Saccharomyces cerevisiae S288C: one gene and its partners. The protein of the gene in region 3 interacts with the protein of the main gene of each other region in a biochemical or structural test. Each region holds a gene or a part of one and is shown on either strand. Other genes may lie near its edges.

Evidence for each region.
Region 1: the proteins of YKT6 (region 3) and SED5 form a complex in vitro, tested with the Saccharomyces cerevisiae proteins (3 studies listed by BioGRID).
Region 2: the proteins of YKT6 (region 3) and VAC8 form a complex in vitro, tested with the Saccharomyces cerevisiae proteins (2 studies listed by BioGRID).
Region 4: the proteins of YKT6 (region 3) and GOS1 form a complex in vitro, tested with the Saccharomyces cerevisiae proteins (2 studies listed by BioGRID).

What each region holds. Positions count from the first base shown.
Region 1 is NC_001144.5:194,950-203,328, reverse strand, and holds SED5 (t-SNARE syntaxin), read left to right. Parts: upstream 1-6,856; coding exon 6,857-7,879; downstream 7,880-8,379. Other genes in the region: YLR030W (uncharacterized protein), read right to left, coding at 1-39; 60S ribosomal protein eL15 RPL15A, read left to right, coding at 739-1,353; bifunctional phosphoribosylaminoimidazolecarboxamide formyltransferase/IMP cyclohydrolase ADE16, read left to right, coding at 2,014-3,789; aspartate transaminase AAT2, read left to right, coding at 5,244-6,500; ESCRT-III subunit protein SNF7, read right to left, coding at 8,155-8,379. UniProt on the Saccharomyces cerevisiae protein: Required for vesicular transport between the endoplasmic reticulum and the Golgi complex. Acts as a target organelle soluble NSF attachment protein receptor (t-SNARE).
Region 2 is NC_001137.3:127,074-132,667, forward strand, and holds VAC8 (protein anchor VAC8), read left to right. Parts: upstream 1-1,751; coding exon 1,752-3,488; downstream 3,489-5,594. Other genes in the region: EDC3 (Edc3p), read left to right, coding at 1-1,211; YEL014C (uncharacterized protein), read right to left, coding at 1,230-1,535; E2 ubiquitin-conjugating protein UBC8, read left to right, coding at 4,699-4,703, 4,827-5,478. UniProt on the Saccharomyces cerevisiae protein: Functions in both vacuole inheritance and protein targeting from the cytoplasm to vacuole (cvt). Involved in the formation of nucleus-vacuole junctions (NVJs) during piecemeal microautophagy of the nucleus (PMN).
Region 3 is NC_001143.9:70,670-79,055, reverse strand, and holds YKT6 (palmitoyltransferase YKT6), read left to right. Parts: upstream 1-3,521; coding exon 3,522-4,124; downstream 4,125-8,386. Other genes in the region: type 1 protein phosphatase-activating protein SDS22, read left to right, coding at 1-190; threonine--tRNA ligase MST1, read left to right, coding at 410-1,798; MIA40 (Mia40p), read right to left, coding at 2,024-3,235; PEX1 (AAA family ATPase peroxin 1), read left to right, coding at 5,191-8,322.
Region 4 is NC_001140.6:38,315-41,444, reverse strand, and holds GOS1 (Gos1p), read left to right. Parts: upstream 1-1,958; coding exon 1,959-2,630; downstream 2,631-3,130. Other genes in the region: ECM29 (Ecm29p), read right to left, coding at 1-1,361; GUT1 (glycerol kinase), read left to right, coding at 2,937-3,130. UniProt on the Saccharomyces cerevisiae protein: Involved in transport from the ER to the Golgi apparatus as well as in intra-Golgi transport. It belongs to a super-family of proteins called t-SNAREs or soluble NSF (N-ethylmaleimide-sensitive factor) attachment protein receptor.

The DNA of each region.
Region 1 (8,379 bases), on a different chromosome or scaffold from region 3:
TGTCTCTTGAACATACTCCATAATTTGTTCACCTTCCATCTCATATATTACATATAAGGCCACACACAGACACAAGCTGAAACGAAAATATCTATAAATATACACTTCTTAATTTGTATTCAAGATATTCTTATCAAAGCACTTATTTTTTCATTATATTTCTATATTGATTTAAGGACGGTACGCTATTTTCTTTGTACCTTTTACTATGCATAAAAAAAGGGGAAGTGTTTAACAATCGACACTTACTTAATATGTTTTGCCGCCCTTCATAAGAGGGTGTTTCTAAAATTTATTGGGCAAGAATGAGATGGACTCGCACCCTACATGACGTTTAAATATTTAGTGTTAAGGTTCAGAACATGCACCAGGTGCGACATGTGTTGCGATTATCATGACAATGTCTCTATCCGAGATGCATTTGTAGTATCAATTGATGCGTATTATGACATGATTTACATAGCATACATCGTCAAACATGATATTATATTCTTTTTTTGATAAATGTACGGATTTAAAGCTGTCGAATATATTTTCTGAAATTTCTTGGAGCTGACGCAAAATTTTCAAAGGTGCTAAAATTTTTCAAGATTTCTCACTTTTGCTTGGTAACAAAGAATGATGGCATTGCATTTTTACCACCGGTACATTTAACTGCTATTTCTCACGTTTCTTTCCCTATCCTTAAGTAATTCTTTTACAATCTAAGAAAACCACGATCAAACAAATAAATCAGCAATGGGTGCCTACAAATATTTGGAAGAATTGCAAAGAAAGAAGCAATCTGATGTTTTGAGATTCTTGCAAAGAGTCAGAGTCTGGGAATACAGACAAAAGAATGTCATTCACAGAGCCGCTAGACCAACTAGACCAGACAAGGCTAGAAGATTGGGTTACAAAGCTAAGCAAGGTTTCGTTATCTACCGTGTCAGAGTTAGACGTGGTAACAGAAAGAGACCTGTTCCAAAGGGTGCTACTTACGGTAAGCCAACTAACCAAGGTGTCAATGAATTGAAATACCAAAGATCCTTGAGAGCTACCGCTGAAGAAAGAGTTGGTCGTCGTGCCGCTAACTTGAGAGTCTTGAACTCCTACTGGGTTAACCAAGATTCTACTTACAAGTACTTCGAAGTTATCTTGGTCGACCCTCAACACAAGGCTATCAGAAGAGATGCTCGTTACAACTGGATCTGTGACCCAGTTCACAAGCACCGTGAAGCTAGAGGTTTGACTGCCACTGGTAAGAAATCCAGAGGTATCAACAAGGGTCACAAATTCAACAACACCAAGGCTGGTAGAAGAAAGACCTGGAAGAGACAAAACACTTTGTCCTTGTGGAGATACAGAAAATAAGCTGGTTGATGGAAAATATAATTTTATTGGGCAAACTTTTGTTTATCTGATGTGTTTTATACTATTATCTTTTTAATTAATGATTCTATATACAAACCTGTATATTTTTTCTTTAACCAATTTTTTTTTTTATAGACCTAGAGCTGTACTTTTATTCTGCTATCAAGCAAACCCCTACCCCCTCTTCTCAATCCTCCCCTCAGGCAGAACTTATCTACCTGTATCAAGGAGCGGACGAGGGAGTCCTAATTGTTCTACGTATACCAATGCTAGCAGCTTACATAGGTGGTGGCACTACCATAATACTTATATATAATATCTTTACGCTCAAGTAAATTTCTCCGCCGCATAAATTAACACCATGTTCTTTTTAGTCGCACCTTATTTTCTTGTATTTTTTTTCTTTCCTTTTCTTCCCGTTTTTCCTTATTAGAGCCATTAGATAAAACTCAAGAAAAGCAAAAGAGAGGGCTATTTCCACTTTAAGAATAAGCCTTAATAATTGGCAAATAGATCGTCCTTTTTTCCAGTTTTCAGCATTTGTGTTTTTTTCTTGCTCTTTTTAGCGATTAGATAACATTCAAGATCTAATCAATACCCCATTCCAAACAAAGAATCCAAATATACCATAAATAGGGACAAAAAACAAAAGAGCTAAAAATGGGCAAATATACCAAGACTGCGATCTTGTCAGTTTATGATAAGACAGGTTTATTAGACTTAGCCAAGGGATTGGTAGAGAACAATGTTCGTATCCTAGCATCCGGTGGTACGGCCAACATGGTCAGAGAAGCTGGTTTTCCGGTCGACGATGTTTCTTCAATTACGCATGCACCAGAAATGCTAGGGGGTAGAGTCAAGACTCTTCACCCTGCTGTGCATGCAGGTATTCTTGCCAGAAATTTAGAGGGCGATGAAAAAGATTTAAAAGAGCAGCACATTGATAAGGTGGATTTTGTTGTATGTAATCTATATCCGTTCAAAGAAACTGTGGCTAAAATTGGTGTTACAGTTCAAGAAGCTGTAGAGGAGATCGACATTGGCGGTGTGACTTTGTTGAGAGCAGCCGCAAAGAACCATTCCAGAGTGACTATTCTTTCAGACCCTAATGACTATTCTATCTTTCTGCAAGACCTGTCTAAGGACGGTGAAATTTCTCAGGATTTAAGAAATAGATTTGCACTTAAGGCGTTTGAACATACGGCCGATTATGATGCGGCCATTTCTGACTTTTTCAGGAAACAGTACTCCGAAGGGAAAGCCCAATTACCGCTAAGATATGGTTGTAATCCCCACCAAAGACCTGCACAAGCTTATATCACTCAGCAGGAGGAGTTGCCCTTCAAAGTGCTCTGCGGTACACCAGGATATATAAATCTTTTGGATGCCTTGAACTCATGGCCCTTAGTGAAAGAGTTATCTGCATCATTGAACTTGCCTGCGGCAGCATCGTTCAAGCACGTTTCTCCAGCAGGTGCTGCTGTGGGACTTCCATTATCCGATGTGGAAAGACAAGTTTATTTTGTGAATGATATGGAGGATTTATCACCATTGGCATGCGCATACGCTAGGGCCCGTGGTGCAGATAGGATGTCATCCTTTGGTGATTTCATTGCATTGTCCAATATTGTAGATGTCGCCACTGCAAAAATCATCTCTAAAGAAGTTTCCGATGGTGTTATTGCTCCAGGGTATGAACCAGAGGCATTGAATATACTATCTAAGAAGAAAAACGGAAAATACTGTATTTTACAAATCGATCCAAACTATGTTCCTGGCCAAATGGAATCCCGAGAGGTTTTTGGCGTAACGTTACAACAAAAGAGAAACGATGCGATCATAAACCAATCCACTTTCAAAGAAATTGTCTCCAAAAACAAAGCACTTACCGAGCAAGCCGTTATCGATCTAACTGTTGCTACGCTGGTTTTAAAATACACACAATCAAATTCTGTTTGCTACGCAAAGAATGGTATGGTTGTGGGGCTTGGGGCCGGCCAACAATCGCGTATACACTGTACCAGATTAGCTGGTGACAAGACGGACAACTGGTGGTTGAGACAACATCCAAAGGTTTTGAACATGAAGTGGGCCAAGGGAATTAAGAGAGCGGACAAGTCGAATGCGATTGATCTTTTTGTTACAGGGCAAAGAATAGAAGGCCCGGAAAAGGTGGATTACGAAAGCAAATTTGAAGAAGTCCCTGAACCTTTCACCAAAGAAGAAAGACTAGAATGGTTAAGCAAATTAAACAATGTATCGTTATCATCCGATGCGTTCTTTCCCTTCCCAGACAACGTTTATAGAGCTGTGCAGTCTGGTGTAAAGTTCATCACGGCTCCTTCGGGGTCTGTCATGGACAAAGTTGTCTTCCAAGCGGCGGATTCATTTGATATCGTCTACGTGGAGAACCCAATTCGTTTATTCCACCACTAAGTAGGGTACATTTTATGAGAAGAACAGAAACAACATATATAGCTGAATACAAGTGTATATACGTAAACGTATACGATTTACTTAATTTTCTACGTCAAAGGCCTTCCTCTTCTGCGAGAGGACAAGATGTGAATATGTGAATTATAGAGATGTCTGCAGTATGGTTTTACCCAAATGATCATGGACCAACTAGGGTCATTTCATAGTGTTTAGGAATATACTGCGGTAGGACGAACAACAAAGATGACCGAACTCAGATTTTCCCACTCTGCACCCACATCCCGCAATCTCTTCGTAATAAGGAGAAAGCTGGCCATAGGACAAAGTATAGGAAAAGAGCTCAAGATCATGCGTCCTACTTAATCTAAGTTAAACTCGTCAACGGGGCCACTTCTGTCTCATCCATATATATCATGGCAACAGCCCCCGAACCCCATATACACATCGTTAAGGCAACAGCACCCGATGCAACGACTAAGAGAAACTGCTCGTAGTCTGACGACTCAAAACTCTGATCACGAAGATCAGAGGAGAAGTCAGGAGCTGCATCTCTTATGTGATGCCGTTGTCCGAAGCGCCATCTAGATGAATACGTGAGGCCCATTGGAGGCTCCTTGAGACTCTGCCTCTCGAGCGTTGAAAAACGCTAGCCCAGTGTTTTAGAGAAGCTAAGCAGCAATAGCAAGAAATGCACACACACGTATGCGAGTGACTTCCCTTCCCTGTATAGTACCGAACTAGCACGAGACTATGGTTACTTTTTTTTTTACAAATAAGCAAAGAGAAACTTGAATGGGAAAAGAAGTTTACCATAGAAGTTAAATGCACGACGATGAGAGTTTCAAAGTGTTTATATAGGCGAGAGAATCTAAAGGAAAATTTTTCTTGAAATAAAAAAGCACTGTCAGGGTAACAATGTTAATAATAGCCGCTGATGGTTTAGGGTTACTACGCTAGAAGGACATAAAATCATTATTTACAAGAAACATACAAGGAGGCAATTTTTTAAACTCTCAATGTAGGATATTTCATTTAACTGCACTAGTGGCATCTATTATACACAATTACTCCAGTAGCTGCCACAAAGCACCCAAAGATAAGAATAATTACGGAAAATGAAATTTTTACTTTGAATATGATGATATGGGCATTGCAGGTTTGTAGTAAGAGCAATTTACAGGAATTCCTGACGGAATATTAATGTTTTCTTACTGTTTAATGCGATGTACATATTGTCAATACTAATGGTCACCACTGGAAATGGCTATCTTTCGTCTTCGTGAATAACGATCGCCGAGAGTCGGACCGAGTGAGTCAGCGTGATCGGCCTCATTTACCTTGTCGCCTTGCACGTCGGTATATAAACGTATGTGGATACTTTAAGAAGGGAAAGCGCAACCGTCCAAATTCTAATGAACAAAAGAACACAGGAATACAAGAACACAAGAGCGATAATGTCTGCCACTCTGTTCAATAACATCGAATTGCTGCCCCCTGATGCCCTTTTTGGTATTAAGCAAAGGTACGGGCAAGATCAACGTGCTACCAAGGTCGACTTGGGTATCGGGGCCTACAGAGACGACAACGGTAAACCATGGGTCTTGCCAAGTGTTAAAGCCGCCGAAAAGCTAATTCATAACGACAGCTCCTACAACCATGAATACCTCGGTATTACCGGTCTGCCAAGTTTGACATCTAACGCCGCCAAGATCATCTTCGGTACGCAATCCGATGCCTTTCAGGAAGACAGAGTAATCTCAGTACAATCACTGTCTGGTACGGGTGCTCTTCATATATCTGCGAAGTTTTTTTCAAAATTCTTCCCAGATAAACTGGTCTATTTGTCTAAGCCTACTTGGGCCAACCACATGGCCATTTTTGAGAATCAAGGCTTGAAAACGGCGACTTACCCTTACTGGGCCAACGAAACTAAGTCTTTGGACCTAAACGGCTTTCTAAATGCTATTCAAAAAGCTCCAGAGGGCTCCATTTTCGTTCTGCACTCTTGCGCCCATAACCCAACTGGTCTGGACCCTACTAGTGAACAATGGGTTCAAATCGTTGATGCTATCGCCTCAAAGAACCACATCGCCTTATTTGACACCGCCTACCAAGGGTTTGCCACTGGAGATTTGGACAAGGATGCCTATGCTGTGCGTCTAGGTGTGGAGAAGCTTTCAACGGTCTCTCCCGTCTTTGTCTGTCAGTCCTTTGCCAAGAACGCCGGTATGTACGGTGAGCGTGTAGGTTGTTTCCATCTAGCACTTACAAAACAAGCTCAAAACAAAACTATAAAGCCTGCTGTTACATCTCAATTGGCCAAAATCATTCGTAGTGAAGTGTCCAACCCACCCGCCTACGGCGCTAAGATTGTCGCTAAACTGTTGGAAACGCCAGAATTAACGGAACAGTGGCACAAGGATATGGTTACCATGTCCTCCAGAATTACGAAAATGAGGCACGCATTAAGAGACCATTTAGTCAAGTTGGGCACTCCTGGCAACTGGGATCATATAGTAAATCAATGCGGGATGTTCTCCTTTACAGGATTGACTCCTCAAATGGTTAAACGACTTGAAGAAACCCACGCAGTTTACTTGGTTGCCTCAGGTAGAGCTTCTATTGCTGGATTGAATCAAGGAAACGTGGAATACGTGGCTAAAGCCATTGATGAAGTGGTGCGCTTCTATACTATTGAAGCTAAATTGTAATGATTAAATAATACTTATACTTACCTATTACACTCTTCATATTTTTTTTAATGTAAAGAAAGTAAAAAAAAAAAAAAATAAAAAAAAGAGAAATGCTCTTTCTTTACCTTCACAGGTGTATTATTATGTTGTTGTAATATCCGGGTAGGTTTATTGATCGAGGCGAGGCGAAAGGGCATATTCGAAACAATCATTATGATAATAATGTCAATATAGAAATTGAAAAAAAAAAAAAAATCCTACCGCCGCATCGACGCTCCTGTTAGACCTTTGAACGGAAATCACCCACTCTTTACTGTATATATTTTATTCCACCTCTGTTTCCAACGACCATTTCACCATACCACACAACTCCCATGAACATAAAGGATAGAACTTCAGAATTTCAACAAAGTGTGTTGAGTTACAAGAAAAGAAACAAAAACTTTAGAGAACAGCAGAGGGAACGTCTACAAGAGAAAGAAAGTGAAAACTTTGCCAACAACACAACCGGCAATGGGAAAAGTGTCTCTGAGTTTCAAAAAAAGGCTTCTGGCATAGCTCACGAAATTTCATCCACCGCACAATTATTATCGAAATTAGCAGTGCTGGCCAAAAGGAAACCGATGTTCAATGACAACCCTGTAGAGATTGCCGAGCTATCATTTTTGATCAAAAGGAAGATTTATGCCATCGAACAAAGTTTAGTGCAATTAAGTCAGCTCAAGAAAACCGACGTGAATGGCAACACATCAAATCAATCTTCTAAGCAACCTAGTGCCGTACAGCACTCCAAAAATGTCGTAAATCTTTTAAACACGCAAATGAAAAACATATCAGGAAGTTTTAAAGACGTATTGGAGGAAAGGCAACGACTAGAAATGGCTAACAAAGACAGATGGCAAAAACTAACCACCGACACTGGACATGCACCAGCTGATGACCAAACGCAAAGCAATCACGCCGCGGACTTGACCACGTATAACAACTCCAACCCATTCATGACCTCACTACTAGATGAATCCTCAGAAAAGAATAACAACTCGTCCAACCAAGGAGAACTGTCTTTCCCTCAAAACGACTCTCAACTAATGTTAATGGAAGAGGGACAGTTATCCAATAACGTCTACTTACAAGAAAGAAATAGGGCGGTGGAGACAATAGAATCCACAATCCAGGAAGTGGGAAATCTCTTCCAACAACTGGCCTCCATGGTTCAAGAACAGGGCGAAGTAATCCAAAGGATTGATGCAAACGTAGACGACATCGATTTAAACATTAGTGGTGCTCAAAGGGAACTTTTGAAATACTTCGACAGGATAAAGAGTAATAGATGGTTAGCCGCAAAGGTTTTTTTTATAATCTTTGTATTTTTCGTTATTTGGGTTTTAGTCAATTAAAAGCAAAGTAAAAGAAAAAAAGATACATATTTGATTATTTATTTTTTTTCCTTCTCTCATCTTTTCTGTACAATAATATAGCAATAACAGATAAAAATAATGAATGCACATTCCCTTCTATACCTATGAACGCAAAAAAAAAAGACAACAAAAAAATAAAAACTATTAATTATGACTTAGCATTATGAACTTCATGTATATAAAAGAGCGTATACAGAACATGGAAAGTAAGAACACCTTTTTTTTTTCTTTCATCTAAACCGCATAGAACACGTTCAAAGCCCCATTTCTGCTTGTAGTTCTCTTAATGCTTTTTCATCTTCATCTTCTTCATCCTCTTCCTCTTCCCCGTCCTTCACAGAGTTCTCACTTTGTTTAATTTTATTACTTGGAACACTAGGTAGTGAGACTTTGTTCTCTGAGATAGGCGCCGCATTAACATTATTATTAACGATCTTGGACGTTTCTTGGTTAGCATTTTCTTGAGCCAGCATGTCCAA
Region 2 (5,594 bases), on a different chromosome or scaffold from region 3:
ATTATCAAAATGATGAATTGGTTATTCCAGATGCAAAGAAAGATTCATGGAACAAGATTTCTTCAAGAAATGAGCAAAGCACACACCAATCTCAGCCGCAACAAGATGCTCAAGATGATCTGGTTTTGGAAGATGATGAACATGAATACGATGTCGATGATATCGATGATCCCAAATACCTACCAATAACTCAGTCTTTGAATATTACACATTTAATTCACTCTGCAACTAACTCTCCATCCATAAATGATAAAACGAAAGGTACAGTTATAAATGATAAGGATCAGGTACTAGCTAAATTAGGCCAGATGATCATCAGCCAGTCAAGATCCAACTCAACATCCTTGCCAGCTGCAAATAAACAAACAACCATCAGATCAAAGAACACTAAGCAGAACATTCCTATGGCTACACCAGTACAACTACTAGAAATGGAGAGCATCACGTCCGAATTTTTCAGTATTAACTCGGCAGGGCTACTAGAAAATTTTGCTGTAAACGCATCGTTCTTCTTAAAGCAGAAACTAGGTGGCCGTGCACGTTTACGTTTACAAAATTCTAATCCGGAACCTTTAGTAGTAATACTAGCCTCAGATTCCAACAGATCTGGTGCGAAAGCTCTGGCGTTGGGTAGACATCTTTGCCAAACGGGGCATATCCGTGTCATAACATTATTTACATGTTCTCAAAATGAACTACAGGATTCCATGGTCAAAAAGCAAACAGATATTTACAAGAAGTGTGGCGGAAAAATTGTTAATAGTGTATCGTCGCTGGAATCTGCTATGGAAACATTAAATAGCCCTGTAGAAATAGTCATCGATGCCATGCAGGGATATGACTGTACATTGAGCGATCTGGCGGGGACGTCGGAAGTTATTGAAAGCAGAATTAAAAGCATGATATCATGGTGTAACAAACAGCGAGGATCTACTAAAGTGTGGTCTTTGGATATTCCAAATGGGTTTGATGCGGGATCCGGCATGCCAGATATTTTCTTTTCAGACAGGATTGAAGCAACAGGAATTATTTGTTCTGGCTGGCCTTTGATTGCCATCAACAACTTAATTGCAAATTTGCCAAGTCTAGAAGATGCTGTTTTGATTGATATAGGTATACCACAGGGCGCCTATTCACAGAGAACTTCTTTGCGTAAGTTCCAAAACTGTGATCTTTTCGTCACTGACGGGTCCCTGCTATTAGATTTGTAAACCAAGAATTACTTTAGCCTAAACTGGATACATACGTATAAGCATACGGTAAGGAAGTGGGATCTGTAGCGGTAATGCAATAATGTGTTGGCTCTCACAAATATGAAAACTGCGAACATCTATATAATAAGGTAACGGTATAACAGAAAAATCTGAATAATTTCTCTTTCCCGGGTAATGAGCCCTTAAGGAGGACTCAAAACGAAAAGGAAAAAAATACGAGTGGAAAGAAAAAATGAACCCTTTCCAGTAATTGATAATAATACAATCATTCATTATTAGAAATATATTAGTTCTCAATTCAAGGCAGAATAGTGCTGTCATTGTGATCAAATTTTTGTGTGAGTCTGCTTTGCTTTCTGTTTTTTTTTGTTGACTCGCTGTTCAATCTCCTACTTTTCCTTTTGTTGTTAAAATAAGGTATTATATATTTATACAACCCTATAAAAAGCAATTAGCCAATTTCCAATCCTACGAAGACAGGAACTGAGCAAACTATAAGGGTGTTCTTTCTTCTGTACTATATATACATTTGCAACTATGGGTTCATGTTGTAGTTGCTTGAAAGATTCTTCAGACGAGGCCAGTGTCTCACCAATTGCCGATAATGAAAGAGAAGCGGTGACTTTATTACTAGGGTATTTGGAGGATAAAGACCAATTAGACTTTTACTCTGGTGGTCCACTAAAGGCCCTAACTACTTTGGTGTATTCAGATAATCTAAATTTGCAAAGGAGCGCCGCTCTGGCATTCGCAGAAATTACTGAAAAATACGTCCGTCAGGTCTCTAGAGAGGTACTGGAACCCATCTTAATATTATTACAAAGCCAAGATCCACAGATTCAAGTGGCCGCTTGTGCAGCCTTGGGTAATTTGGCCGTTAATAATGAAAATAAATTATTAATTGTGGAAATGGGAGGCTTAGAGCCATTAATAAACCAAATGATGGGTGACAATGTAGAAGTTCAATGTAATGCTGTTGGATGCATTACCAATTTAGCCACAAGGGATGACAATAAACATAAGATTGCTACTTCTGGTGCTTTAATTCCATTGACTAAGCTAGCTAAATCCAAACATATAAGAGTTCAGAGAAATGCTACAGGTGCATTATTAAATATGACACATTCTGAGGAAAATAGAAAAGAATTGGTTAATGCAGGTGCTGTGCCTGTATTGGTATCTTTACTGTCGTCCACCGATCCTGATGTTCAGTACTATTGTACTACTGCTTTATCAAATATAGCAGTGGATGAAGCCAATCGCAAGAAGTTGGCTCAAACTGAGCCAAGATTGGTTTCCAAATTGGTTAGTCTGATGGATTCTCCATCTTCAAGGGTAAAATGTCAAGCTACTTTGGCTTTACGAAACCTAGCGTCCGATACAAGCTACCAATTAGAAATTGTAAGGGCTGGTGGGTTGCCTCATTTGGTAAAGTTGATTCAAAGTGATTCTATACCACTGGTTTTGGCTAGTGTGGCATGCATTAGAAACATTTCTATTCACCCTCTAAATGAAGGTTTAATTGTTGATGCAGGTTTCTTAAAACCATTAGTAAGATTGTTGGACTATAAGGATTCAGAAGAAATTCAATGTCACGCCGTATCTACTTTGAGAAATTTGGCTGCATCATCTGAAAAAAACAGAAAAGAGTTCTTCGAAAGTGGTGCTGTCGAAAAATGTAAGGAACTGGCTCTAGATTCACCTGTTAGTGTTCAAAGTGAAATTTCCGCATGTTTTGCTATTTTAGCCCTAGCAGATGTCTCCAAATTGGATCTACTGGAAGCAAATATCTTAGATGCTTTAATCCCTATGACTTTTTCCCAGAACCAAGAAGTTTCTGGTAATGCTGCTGCTGCTTTGGCAAATCTATGTTCAAGAGTGAATAATTATACAAAAATTATTGAAGCATGGGATCGTCCGAATGAAGGCATTCGTGGATTTCTGATTAGATTTTTGAAAAGTGACTATGCTACCTTTGAACACATTGCGCTATGGACAATTTTACAATTGCTAGAAAGTCATAATGATAAAGTGGAAGATTTGGTTAAAAATGATGACGACATCATTAACGGAGTGAGAAAAATGGCAGATGTGACCTTTGAGCGTTTACAAAGATCAGGAATTGATGTTAAAAATCCGGGGAGCAACAACAATCCAAGCTCGAATGATAACAACAGTAATAACAATGACACAGGATCTGAACATCAACCTGTAGAGGATGCAAGTTTGGAATTGTATAATATTACTCAACAGATTTTACAATTTTTACATTGATTTTCTTCAAAAGCGGGACTAGGCATTATAATTTTTATCAAAATTTTCTTCTCAGAAGTTTTATTTTCTTTCTCTCCATTTCTTCCATCTTTTTAATCTTTGTTTCCTTTTTTTACATCATATTACTTCTACCTACTCTACTCTATTCTAATTTCAATTGATTTTTTTTATTTTATTTTTTTTTTTGTTAATAAAAGAAGAAAAAACTTAAAAACGAATAAGAGGCTGTCTTTGTTCCGTAGTATATGCCTATTTCCTTCTAGAAGTTTGAAGTGTCGTAAATTTTACCTACGGATAATGTTCGTTACATTGTTGAATGGCAACTGTAGTGAGGTAATGTTCAAAAAGTGAGAAAGCGGGAGAGAAGGGCTACATACAAAAACCAATTCTAGATAACATCTATATCTTCGTTTTTAGAATATATTGTAATAAAACACAATTGATAATACAGTTCTCTCTTCGTCCTCTGATGGTGGGAGATCTATTAAAAATACAAGTTAGCTGAGCGGGGGAAAAAAATAGGTCTTACCCGGATTCGAACCGGGGTTGTTCGGATCAAAACCGAAAGTGATAACCACTACACTATAAAACCTCTTAATTATTGATTTCCACAATAATTTTATCATATATCAACACTATTCTTCACATAGTTTTTTTAATCCCGGTGTCTCTCATCTGCTAATGAAAATACGTTCACTCATATTTCATGCACCTTCCAGTAGACTGACCCTTCATAAGGTTAAGAATATCATGGGGAAATTATCGCAATGCATGTCTCTTAAAGAATACAAGAATATATAAAGGCGAATCAACGATTCTTCACGATAATTTGTTTTCCTCTTAATCACACAGCAGTCTGAATTCTATCAGTGGCACATTAATCCTTGTTTCAATGCTCGTGTGCACATCTGCGTAAATATACATTCTTACGTTTTCTTATTTAATAATAGTAGGTTGAGCTTCGTCCACCGGGTAATGCTCCCGGAGCAGTGGAATTAAAAAAAAAAAGGGTGAGCACCGGAAACAGCTATCTGCGCTTAAGTATCACTAACGTAAAGCATAGGTAGGATTTCCAGTTCTGCCACATTTGATAAATAGTGTAATCCGTAATTATCAAGCGAGATAGTTTTCGAATATAATTTAGAAGTAAGAGCAAAATATTAATAGTATTTCATAAGGAATATTGGAAGAAAGGAGCGTAATACGAAAGATGAGGTATGTTTGATAAGATATATACGTATATTTATATATCACTCTTCTGAGAAAGTATGCCATAGAATGAGGATCACTAACAAAGAAAATGTCAATGAACTTCAAAGATATCGTTTAATGAAACAGTAGCTCTAAAAGAAGGATCGAGACAGATGTTATGAAACTGTTGATGAGTGATCATCAAGTGGATTTAATCAATGATAGCATGCAAGAGTTTCATGTAAAGTTCTTGGGACCAAAGGATACACCCTACGAAAATGGGGTTTGGAGGTTACATGTAGAGTTGCCGGATAATTACCCATACAAGTCGCCAAGCATAGGGTTCGTTAACAAGATATTCCATCCTAACATTGATATCGCATCGGGGTCCATATGTTTGGACGTAATTAACTCTACATGGTCGCCTTTATATGATCTGATAAATATAGTGGAGTGGATGATACCAGGTTTATTAAAGGAGCCTAATGGTAGCGATCCCTTGAATAACGAAGCTGCCACATTGCAATTACGAGATAAAAAACTGTATGAGGAAAAAATCAAAGAGTATATAGACAAGTATGCTACAAAGGAAAAGTACCAACAAATGTTTGGCGGAGATAATGATAGCGATGACAGTGATAGCGGCGGTGATTTACAAGAAGAGGACAGTGATTCTGATGAAGATATGGATGGCACTGGTGTTTCCAGTGGCGATGATAGCGTAGATGAGTTAAGCGAGGATCTAAGTGACATAGATGTCAGTGATGACGATGACTACGACGAAGTCGCAAATCAATAATTTCGAGCACACACATATATATATATATATATATATGTATGTATGTATAAGTATATATGATGGCATACTATACCACACGTACGACTATAATTACAAACAACTATCAAGCAACTACA
Region 3 (8,386 bases):
CTCCTTTAACAAGATAGATCAATCCTTTGAGAGCTTGGGTGAAAACCTGTCCGCCCTATCACGCTTGGAGACCATTTATCTGGAGGGAAACCCTATTCAACTGGAAAATAAGACTTCGTATAGAAGAAAACTGACTATGAACTTACCTCCATCCCTACAGAAGATTGATGCGACATATATAAGAGGCTGATCTTGATCAAGAAATGATTTTTTTTTTATATACACACACAAACATATATATATATATATATATATAATGTAGGATTTTGATCCTTTTAAAAAAAACTGAATAATCCATCTAGTTAAAGTTCGCCCTTAAAAACCTCGAGCATGAAAAAAAGAAGAGCTGCTGAACTACATAAAGAAAAACATATGCAATAGCTAAGGGCACGTCCTTCTGTCTCGCAATATGAAAATACAACTTGTAAGATGGCATTGTTCTCGCAATGCTCTTTGGAATCGTGCTTTCTACTCTACGAGAAAGGCCACTAAGAACGCTTCGTCGGCGACTCCAGCTACTATGACATCCATGGTATCTCAGAGGCAAGATCTTTTCATGACAGATCCACTATCTCCTGGATCCATGTTCTTTCTTCCAAATGGTGCTAAGATTTTCAACAAATTGATAGAGTTTATGAAGTTACAACAAAAGTTCAAATTTGGTTTTAATGAAGTTGTGACGCCTTTGATTTACAAAAAGACTCTTTGGGAAAAGTCTGGTCACTGGGAAAATTATGCTGATGACATGTTTAAGGTGGAAACTACGGATGAAGAAAAGGAGGAATACGGTTTAAAACCGATGAATTGCCCAGGCCATTGTCTGATCTTCGGTAAAAAGGATAGATCGTATAACGAACTTCCCCTACGCTTCTCTGATTTTTCACCACTACATAGAAATGAAGCTTCTGGTGCACTGTCGGGATTGACTAGACTAAGGAAGTTCCATCAAGACGATGGTCATATCTTTTGCACTCCTTCCCAAGTGAAATCAGAAATTTTCAACTCTTTAAAATTAATCGACATAGTTTACAACAAAATTTTCCCCTTTGTTAAAGGAGGTTCTGGAGCAGAGAGCAATTATTTTATAAACTTTTCTACAAGACCGGATCACTTCATTGGAGACCTCAAAGTTTGGAATCATGCTGAGCAAGTACTCAAGGAAATCTTGGAAGAATCAGGCAAACCGTGGAAACTGAACCCTGGTGATGGTGCGTTCTATGGTCCAAAGTTGGATATAATGGTTACGGACCATTTACGCAAAACTCATCAAGTCGCTACTATTCAGTTGGACTTTCAGCTACCTGAGAGGTTCGATTTGAAATTCAAGGATCAAGACAACTCGTACAAGAGGCCAATTATGATTCATAGAGCTACTTTTGGTTCTATCGAAAGATTTATGGCTTTACTGATAGATTCTAATGAGGGCCGTTGGCCGTTTTGGTTGAATCCTTACCAAGCTGTAATTATTCCCGTCAATACGAAAAATGTGCAACAGCTAGACATGTGCACTGCCTTGCAGAAAAAACTACGTAATGAACTGGAAGCCGACGACATGGAACCAGTTCCTTTAAATGATTGGCATTTCAATGTTGATCTCGACATAAGAAACGAACCCGTAGGGTATAGGATCAAGTCGGCCATTTTGAAAAACTATTCCTATTTAATTATCGTGGGTGATGAGGAAGTACAGTTACAGAAATACAACATTCGAGAACGTGATAATAGAAAGAGTTTCGAGAAACTTACAATGTCTCAAATTTGGGAAAAATTTATTGAGCTGGAAAAAAACTACAAGTAACTTAAAATATATGACAAACTTGCCCTGTAAATAAAAGGATACGATTTGATGTATAGCTGGATTCATACAGAGACTAGACTCATCCGCCCCACAGATGCATTAATTCATGTATATTTCACATATTATACCATATGTAGTCATTAAACTAAGATAATATTACTGTATTTACATGTATCATCCTTTATACTTTTATACTTTTTACGTTCGGGAGATTTTCAGGAGATTTTAAGGTTTGGATTCCTCATTCAATGGTTCTTTTTTCACATCTGATTGCTCTGCTTTTTTCGCAGCATTTTCCTTTGCGCTTGAAACATTTGGCGCTGATTCTATTGTGTTGACCTTTACTTTGTCTTGAGGTTCCTCATCATCAGATGTTTCCTTTAGTTGTTCTGCATAATGCTCGGGGTATTTTCTGAAACAGTCTTGCATATGTTGAAACTTTTCAACACAGTCGATACCTTTTGGTTCAGCTTCAGAATAGACGAAGCAAGAAAATGCAGATTTGAACTCTTCACCACAGGGTCCATGGGCCATACCTCCCAAGCAAGGACAGTCCCAATTTATCTCACCAGTGTCTGGGTTATAAGCACCTTCGTGTTGAACCTCTTCTTCAGTAGGACCCATTTGCTTTTCCTCTTGTTTTCTTAGTTCTTCTTTCTCTTCATCGCTAGATTCAGATTGCTTAGCTGAATTTTCCGAGTCACTTACAGTTTTTTTTGAGGATTCTTCTTCTCCATTATTATCTTCAGTAGTTGTCTTGTCATCAGATTGTCCCTGTTGCGATTTTTCATCATCTGAATGTTCTGGATCTTTTTTTTCAGAAGATCCAGCATTGTTGTCTAGTGTTTTGTCACTAGTATTTTCTTCCGAGTTCTCAGAACTTATGTTTTCATCCTTTTGATTGTTAGCGGTGGCATTGTCTTCATTGGATTGCTCATCATCTTTGGTTGATACCTTTGATTCATCAGTATCTTTATCTTCGGAAGACTTGTTGTCTTCTTCTGCTAGAACAACCAATTCACCATCTTCAGCTACTTTTGAAGCACCAATTTTATCACCCCCTAATTGAGGGCCAGCTTCAGTTTCATCGTTTTTGCTGTCGTTGTCATCTCCATTTTCATCGCTTTTGCTGTTGTTGTCATCTTCATTTTCTGGTGATTGCTCACCACCACTGGAAAGCTCTTCCTCTGCGGTTTTATCGGATTCTACCTTCCTTGAGGCGAAAAGAGGCTTCCTATTAGGAGCAATAAAATATAAAGCACCAGCCATAGAAAGAATCCCCATTATAAAGCCCGCTGTTTTTTCCTGATTGGAGTTCCTACCGAACTGAGGGGAGGACGCCATGAGACGTCTTGTTTGGTGTCGGCATAACCCCCTTGCCACTTGAATTGACGGCCTGTTTCTGCACGCATTCCTGACGACTAAGTTGCGAAGCATTTTACTGATAATATACACTCTTTGGATCGAGCCTACTTCCAGTTGGTAATTGGTGTTCCACAATTTCAGCATTATATGTTTTTAAACCAAAATTCGGCTCCTTTTCCCTTTTTTTCTTATTGGGTGGCGTGCCGTACAGAACGATTGGCTTGGTGTGAAATCAAGAGCAAGCACAATAGATATCAACATGAACAATATACAAAAGTCTCTGGCACAGTTTGACTGCGTTAGACCAGGCTAGGGCATTTCTGAAGCTTTACGTATCACTAGAGAAGTTATTTTGGCAATGAGAATCTACTACATCGGTGTATTTCGCTCTGGAGGAGAAAAGGCTCTAGAGTTGAGTGAAGTTAAAGACTTGTCACAATTTGGTTTCTTTGAAAGGTCTAGTGTTGGCCAGTTTATGACTTTTTTTGCTGAAACGGTCGCTTCTAGAACTGGTGCAGGACAAAGACAAAGTATAGAAGAAGGCAACTATATTGGCCACGTTTATGCCAGGAGTGAGGGCATATGTGGTGTTTTGATCACCGACAAAGAATATCCTGTCAGACCAGCATACACACTATTAAACAAAATATTGGATGAATATTTAGTCGCACATCCTAAGGAAGAGTGGGCAGATGTGACTGAGACCAATGATGCATTGAAAATGAAGCAACTGGACACTTACATTAGCAAATATCAAGATCCTTCACAGGCTGACGCTATCATGAAAGTTCAACAAGAACTGGATGAGACGAAAATCGTTTTGCACAAAACGATTGAGAATGTTTTACAAAGAGGTGAAAAGTTGGATAATTTGGTGGACAAATCGGAGTCATTAACGGCAAGTTCCAAAATGTTTTATAAGCAAGCTAAAAAATCCAATTCGTGTTGCATCATCATGTAGATGCATCCACACACTATTTTCAGCATAGTGTGGCTTTTCATCTGCTTTATGTAATTTAGAAAGCCAATGACAGCAGCAAGGGAAACAAAAATCTTTTAAATCAAATTAATTGTTTAAATAATATACTATGTAAGCATCGATTCTCCTAACTATTATAACCAAAGGTTGATTTGAAGCCATTGGCATTGTATTAGAATTGATTTGTTTCTTCAGTGTAAAAAAGTTAAAAATAAGCGACCCCAGTGAGGGTTGAACTCACGATCTTGCGATTAACAGTCGCACGCCTTAACCAACTTGGCCATGGAGTCTAATTGCTATATTTTTCTTTTGAAAACAAGATATATAAATAATGCTTGAGCTGGAGCATTTACGTTGTAAATGTATAATTAGTGTAAGAAACCGCTGGGCCCTATTTGTTGATGAAGTATTTACTTAAATGTAACAGAATATACTGGAAGTCCCCCCTCGGGCACATGGAAATTCACTAAAAGGAATTGGTAATGCATATGATATTACTACCGTTTCTCATTTCACTTTATATGCTTTCAGTGATTGTGTTACTACGTGACAGTTCTTACAATTCAGCGCCGTTACTCTCTATGAGTGCTCTCATTATTTATATCATATTCTTACACTTCATACAATTATATATACTCGTACCATGGATATTAGAGGATAGTTGGTTTTTGTTTAAACTAATTCTATGTAACCTCGATGGCATGAGTCCATAATACTGTACTGGCGTATGCCCTTGTTTGTGGTCTTTGTGCAACCATTTCAGGCTTTCTTATTTGCACAGGGCAGTTGCGACCCTGATAAAAAAAAATGGCTGATCAATCGGCGTGGACAAAAAAAAACATCGATTTCTATATTCATGGTAATCTGTCGAATTCTCCAACCAAGTTAGCTGGACTTTATTGTCTTATATCCGATTACTATCGCGATTTATTCTTGTGCGTAGCCGCAATTATAAAGGTCCGGAATATCTCTCCGACTATTGTCATCGTCGAATTTCTTCTGGAAGGGACGGCAGTAACAAGAAACACCTGAGGAACTGCTCTTTCAAATGACGACGACCAAGAGGTTGAAGTTTGAGAATCTGAGAATCCAATTCTCCAATGCCATAGTAGGAAACTTTTTAAGGTTACCGCATTCAATTATAAACGTGTTAGAGTCAACCAACTACGCTATCCAGGAATTCGGTATAGCAGTCCATTCTCATAATTCAGATATACCTATTGTTCATCTTGGATGGGATGGCCATGATTCTGGATCGAGTGAGAATGTTGTTCTTATCAATCCTGTTTTGGCCACAGTATATGATTTAAATCAAAAGTCTCCATTGGTGGACTTATACATCCAGCGATATGACCACACACACCTGGCTACGGAGGTGTATGTCACGCCAGAAACGAGTGATGATTGGGAAATTATCGATGCCAATGCGATGAGGTTCCAAAATGGTGAGATTTTGCACCAAACCCGTATAGTTACCCCAGGTGAGACTTTGATTTGTTATTTGGAAGGAATTGTTACAAAGTTCAAAATTGACAGGGTGGAGCCATCAATGAAGTCTGCGAGGATCACAGATGGTTCCTTGGTTGTTGTGGCACCAAAAGTCAATAAAACACGTTTGGTGAAGGCTGAGTATGGTCATAGTAATAAGACAATACTAAAAAATGGGGCTATCCAACTTTTAAAGAAGGTAATATTGAGGAGTACTGTGTGCAAAATGGACTTCCCTAAAGATAACCTTTTTGTCGTATATATCAGTGACGGGGCACAATTGCCTTCTCAGAAGGGCTACGCTTCTATCGTAAAATGTAGCTTAAGGCAGTCCAAGAAAAGCGATTCAGATAATAAATCAGTTGGTATCCCTTCGAAGAAGATTGGGGTTTTTATAAAATGTGATAGTCAGATACCCGAAAATCACATTGCATTAAGCTCTCATCTTTGGGATGCATTCTTTACGCACCCAATGAACGGAGCAAAAATCAAACTAGAGTTTCTACAAATGAATCAAGCAAATATAATATCCGGAAGAAATGCAACAGTCAATATCAAATATTTTGGCAAGGACGTTCCTACCAAGAGTGGGGATCAGTATTCTAAGTTGTTGGGCGGGAGCTTATTGACCAATAACTTAATACTTCCAACAGAGCAAATTATAATCGAAATAAAAAAAGGTGAATCCGAGCAGCAGTTGTGTAATTTGAATGAAATTTCCAATGAATCCGTTCAATGGAAAGTAACCCAAATGGGTAAAGAAGAAGTTAAAGATATTATCGAAAGGCATTTGCCTAAACATTACCACGTCAAAGAAACTGGCGAAGTTTCGCGCACTAGTAAAGATGAAGATGATTTCATTACGGTAAATAGTATCAAGAAAGAAATGGTCAATTATTTGACATCGCCTATTATTGCCACACCAGCTATTATATTAGATGGTAAGCAAGGGATCGGTAAAACAAGGTTATTAAAAGAGCTTATAAATGAAGTGGAAAAAGATCATCACATCTTCGTTAAATATGCGGATTGTGAAACATTGCACGAGACATCAAATTTAGATAAAACCCAAAAATTAATTATGGAATGGTGTTCTTTTTGTTATTGGTATGGTCCTTCTTTGATTGTGTTGGATAACGTTGAGGCTCTATTTGGAAAACCTCAAGCCAATGACGGAGATCCTTCTAATAATGGCCAATGGGATAATGCAAGCAAACTTTTGAATTTTTTCATCAATCAGGTGACAAAGATATTTAACAAGGATAATAAACGAATCAGAGTTTTATTTTCAGGCAAGCAGAAAACTCAAATTAATCCGCTATTGTTTGATAAGCATTTTGTTTCAGAGACGTGGTCTTTGAGAGCACCTGACAAACATGCAAGAGCGAAGTTACTGGAGTATTTTTTCTCGAAAAACCAGATCATGAAACTAAATCGAGATTTGCAATTCAGTGATTTGTCGTTGGAGACAGAAGGATTTTCGCCACTAGATTTGGAAATATTCACAGAAAAGATTTTCTACGACTTGCAGTTGGAAAGAGATTGTGATAATGTTGTAACAAGGGAACTTTTTTCGAAGTCGCTTAGTGCGTTTACACCATCTGCGTTGCGTGGAGTAAAGCTAACAAAAGAAACGAACATCAAATGGGGGGATATTGGTGCTTTAGCAAATGCCAAAGATGTCCTTCTAGAAACCTTAGAGTGGCCCACAAAATATGAGCCTATTTTCGTTAATTGTCCCCTAAGATTGAGATCAGGAATCTTGCTTTACGGTTATCCTGGTTGTGGTAAAACGCTTCTGGCGAGCGCCGTGGCACAACAATGTGGGTTAAACTTTATCTCCGTTAAGGGACCAGAGATTTTAAACAAGTTTATAGGTGCCAGCGAACAAAACATAAGAGAATTGTTTGAAAGGGCACAGTCCGTCAAACCCTGTATTCTATTTTTTGACGAGTTCGATTCTATTGCGCCAAAGAGAGGGCATGACTCCACTGGTGTCACAGACCGTGTAGTCAATCAATTATTGACCCAAATGGATGGTGCCGAGGGCCTTGATGGTGTATATATACTAGCAGCTACAAGTAGACCTGATTTGATTGATAGCGCATTGTTAAGACCGGGAAGATTAGACAAAAGTGTGATCTGTAATATACCGACTGAATCAGAGAGGTTAGATATCTTGCAAGCTATCGTCAATTCAAAAGACAAGGATACGGGACAAAAAAAATTTGCATTGGAGAAAAATGCAGACTTGAAGTTGATCGCTGAAAAGACAGCTGGTTTTTCGGGTGCTGATTTACAGGGGCTCTGCTACAATGCTTATTTGAAATCTGTACATAGGTGGCTGTCTGCTGCAGACCAATCGGAAGTGGTACCCGGCAATGATAATATAGAATACTTCAGTATCAATGAGCACGGGCGTAGAGAAGAAAATAGACTACGGCTAAAGACTCTATTGCAGCAAGATGTGGTGCACGAGACAAAGACAAGCACTTCAGCTGCTTCTGAGCTGACAGCTGTGGTCACAATAAACGATTTATTGGAAGCCTGTCAAGAGACAAAACCTAGTATTTCAACAAGTGAGTTGGTCAAATTAAGGGGGATTTACGATAGGTTCCAGAAGGATAGGAACGGTGAGATGCCCAATGGTGAGAATTCCATCGACATTGGTAGCCGACTCTCCCTTATGTGAAAAGGAAGAAGAAAAGAACAAAGCGCGTTTCCCTTTAAAGGGCAAAAAATGCGGCGCACGTTGC
Region 4 (3,130 bases), on a different chromosome or scaffold from region 3:
TTTTTCAAGGACTCGAATAGAAATTCAATATAGGATAAGTCACTTACAAGCTCAAAATCTCTTTTCAAGATATCACCCAATGTTTCATATTGCAGCTGTCTCTGCAGAATGGCTGTATTGAAAGCTGGGGTCTGAGGCCCCAATTGTAACTTCGGCCAACCTTCGGCATGAAGATTATTTCTAATCAAGGAAACAATACAAGTGGAAAAGTCTGTTGATGAAGGTGATGAAGAAGCAGGATTTAAATTTTTGTAATTTAATTTTGCTACGTGTCGAATAAAAGAAAGAGTCAAAGATCTAAGTTTATACTCAGATGAATGCAATCCAATAGAGCAAATCAACGAAATACATTCTGCTTTGGTGGTGGCGAAGTGACTTCTGTTTAATATGGACAGGATTTTTTCTTGCAAGATAGCCTTGACCGGCGGTCTTCCATTTGCTGTGTTGCCGATGTACAGCGTCTGAAGAAAGGTGATGAACTCTTCGTTTTCATAAGGCATGGGAAACCGTTTCATGAACTGAGCCGCATCATCAGATAAATTTGTAGAATCCGTAGAGACAACGCACAAAAATTCCATCAGTTCAATCATCCTAGGTGACTGCTCAATAGTTTGGGTAGCCGCCATGCCACGGCAAACAAATTGAAAAATAGCCTTTTTGAACTTATTCAGCTGTTCTTTGTTGAAAGTAACGCCCGCATCATAAGTAAAGAATGCCACATCAGTTAGAGATAGGCCCGGACATGTGTAACCTCTCGACAGGGGCTGTTGAGAAACCTGGACTTGCTTTGAAGGTACCAGCAGAAAAAACCTGGTAAATTGGCGCATCAAAAACGAAAAACCGTCGTTGTCCAGTTGAAGGAACTGAACAAATTCTTCCTGCTCATGTGAAGACTCCTGGGGTGCAACCCATTCCAAAATAAGCTTCAAAAGGATGTGGAACATTCTGGCGGCTACTGTGCCTGTTAGACACGAGATGTTCGAAACGACTAACGGTAGCAACTGCTGTCTATCTTGCAAGGAAAGCCTATCTATGCCTTTAGACGCCAGTAGCAGACTGTAAAGGCGGACATTGGTCGAGTCTTGTTGAGCGGCTAAATTGGGTTCCTTTGCTTGGACAATAAGCGCCCTCACAGGAAGCTGAACCTGGGGCAGCGTATTTATCCTAGAAATGAGGTTTTTTAAGGCTGAAAATACTGCTGTTCTAACGGAGGCATGTGGAGAGGCGAGTTTTAGTAATAATGGAGGCAAAAAAGTCTGCAGATTAGTTTCGAACTTTTGAGGGGAATCTGCGATAGCCAGGCGCAATTCTGCCTTCTCCACGAGCTGTTTTTCTTTCGCTTCGTCAGAAGAAATGGACATAATGTTGTTCGTGGTGAAATAGAAACTTTTCTATAATTATTGTATTATCCAATCCTGCACAAAGACAAAGAGATCAGTTATCGAGAGCTTACCAGCTTCTTTATATCAGGAAGTACCTTTTTTTTGCCACCAAGAAAAGGCATATGGATATACCGGGTAACACATAAATACCAAAACTCTGGCGGCTAAACTGGTAAAACCTGATATATACAAAGATCAAATAAGTATAAAAGCTTTCAAAGATGCTTATGAAAAATCTCACGAGATTGGTAGTTACTGATCAGGCACAAACTCCGCAGCCAAAACAATATTTTGAAAATATGTGAGCATTCAGCAAGAGACCTTCAACTGCTCCGAATGTGCATTTCACAGCAATGCAACAAAAGTCAATGACACTTGCAAACCCAGTGTAAGACGCCTACTCTTGTTCAATCAGTTAGTTATCTTTGTTCAATAGTGTGGTTGGTAACCAAATTTTCTAGGCGTTGTTGAAAATAAAGAGAACGAAAAACAAAAAAAAAGAGATAAAAAGACAAGGAAAAAATAAACTAACTAGACACAGGGAAAAGCCCAATTCCAGACAAGCAACCACACCACATGAGCTCACAACCGTCTTTCGTCACCATAAGGGGCAAGGCCATTTCTCTAGAAACACAAACGGAGTCACTTCTTTCCAAGTACTCCACATTCGCGCAGACAACTAGTTCAGAACAAACTGGCCAAGAAAAGAAGATAGACAAGCAGTTGGAGGGAATCTTAGGCCAGAGACAGGATGTAATCGATTCATTAACACAAATCTGCGATTCTAACCCGGCAATCTCCGCCTCAAAGCTTTCCCAACTGCACCGCCACAAGGAGATCTTACAAGACCACTGGAAGAGCTTCCGCAATATCAGGTCCTCCATCCAGCAAGAGCGCAACAGACTAAACTTGTTATTCAGCGTGAAGAACGATATTGCTAATTCCACAACGGACGCGCCAGCTCCTATAGGGGATGCTGACGAGTACATTCAGAACGAAACAAGGCGAATCGATCAGTCCAACAACGTAGTCGACCGTCTCATCTCCCAAGCCTGGGAGACTCGGTCGCAGTTCCACTCGCAGAGCAACGTGCTGAACACGGCAAACAACAAGGTGTTGCAAACTTTACAAAGAATACCAGGTGTCAATCAGCTTATTATGAAGATTAACACGAGAAGGAAGAAAAACGCGTTTGTATTGGCCACGATAACCACCCTTTGTATACTGTTTTTGTTTTTCACATGGTAAATAACGACTTTTATTAAACAACGTATGTAAAAACATAACAAGAATCTACCCATACAGGCCATTTCGTAATTCTTCTCTTCTAATTGGAGTAAAACCATCAATTAAAGGGTGTGGAGTAGCATAGTGAGGGGCTGACTGCATTGACAAAAAAATTGAAAAAAAAAAAAGGAAAAGGAAAGGAAAAAAAGACAGCCAAGACTTTTAGAACGGATAAGGTGTAATAAAATGTGGGGGGATGCCTGTTCTCGAACCATATAAAATATACCATGTGGTTTGAGTTGTGGCCGGAACTATACAAATAGTTATATGTTTCCCTCTCTCTTCCGACTTGTAGTATTCTCCAAACGTTACATATTCCGATCAAGCCAGCGCCTTTACACTAGTTTAAAACAAGAACAGAGCCGTATGTCCAAAATAATGGAAGATTTACGAAGTGACTACGTCCCGCTTATCGCCAGTATTGATGTAGGAACGACCTCATCCAGATGCATTCTGTTCAA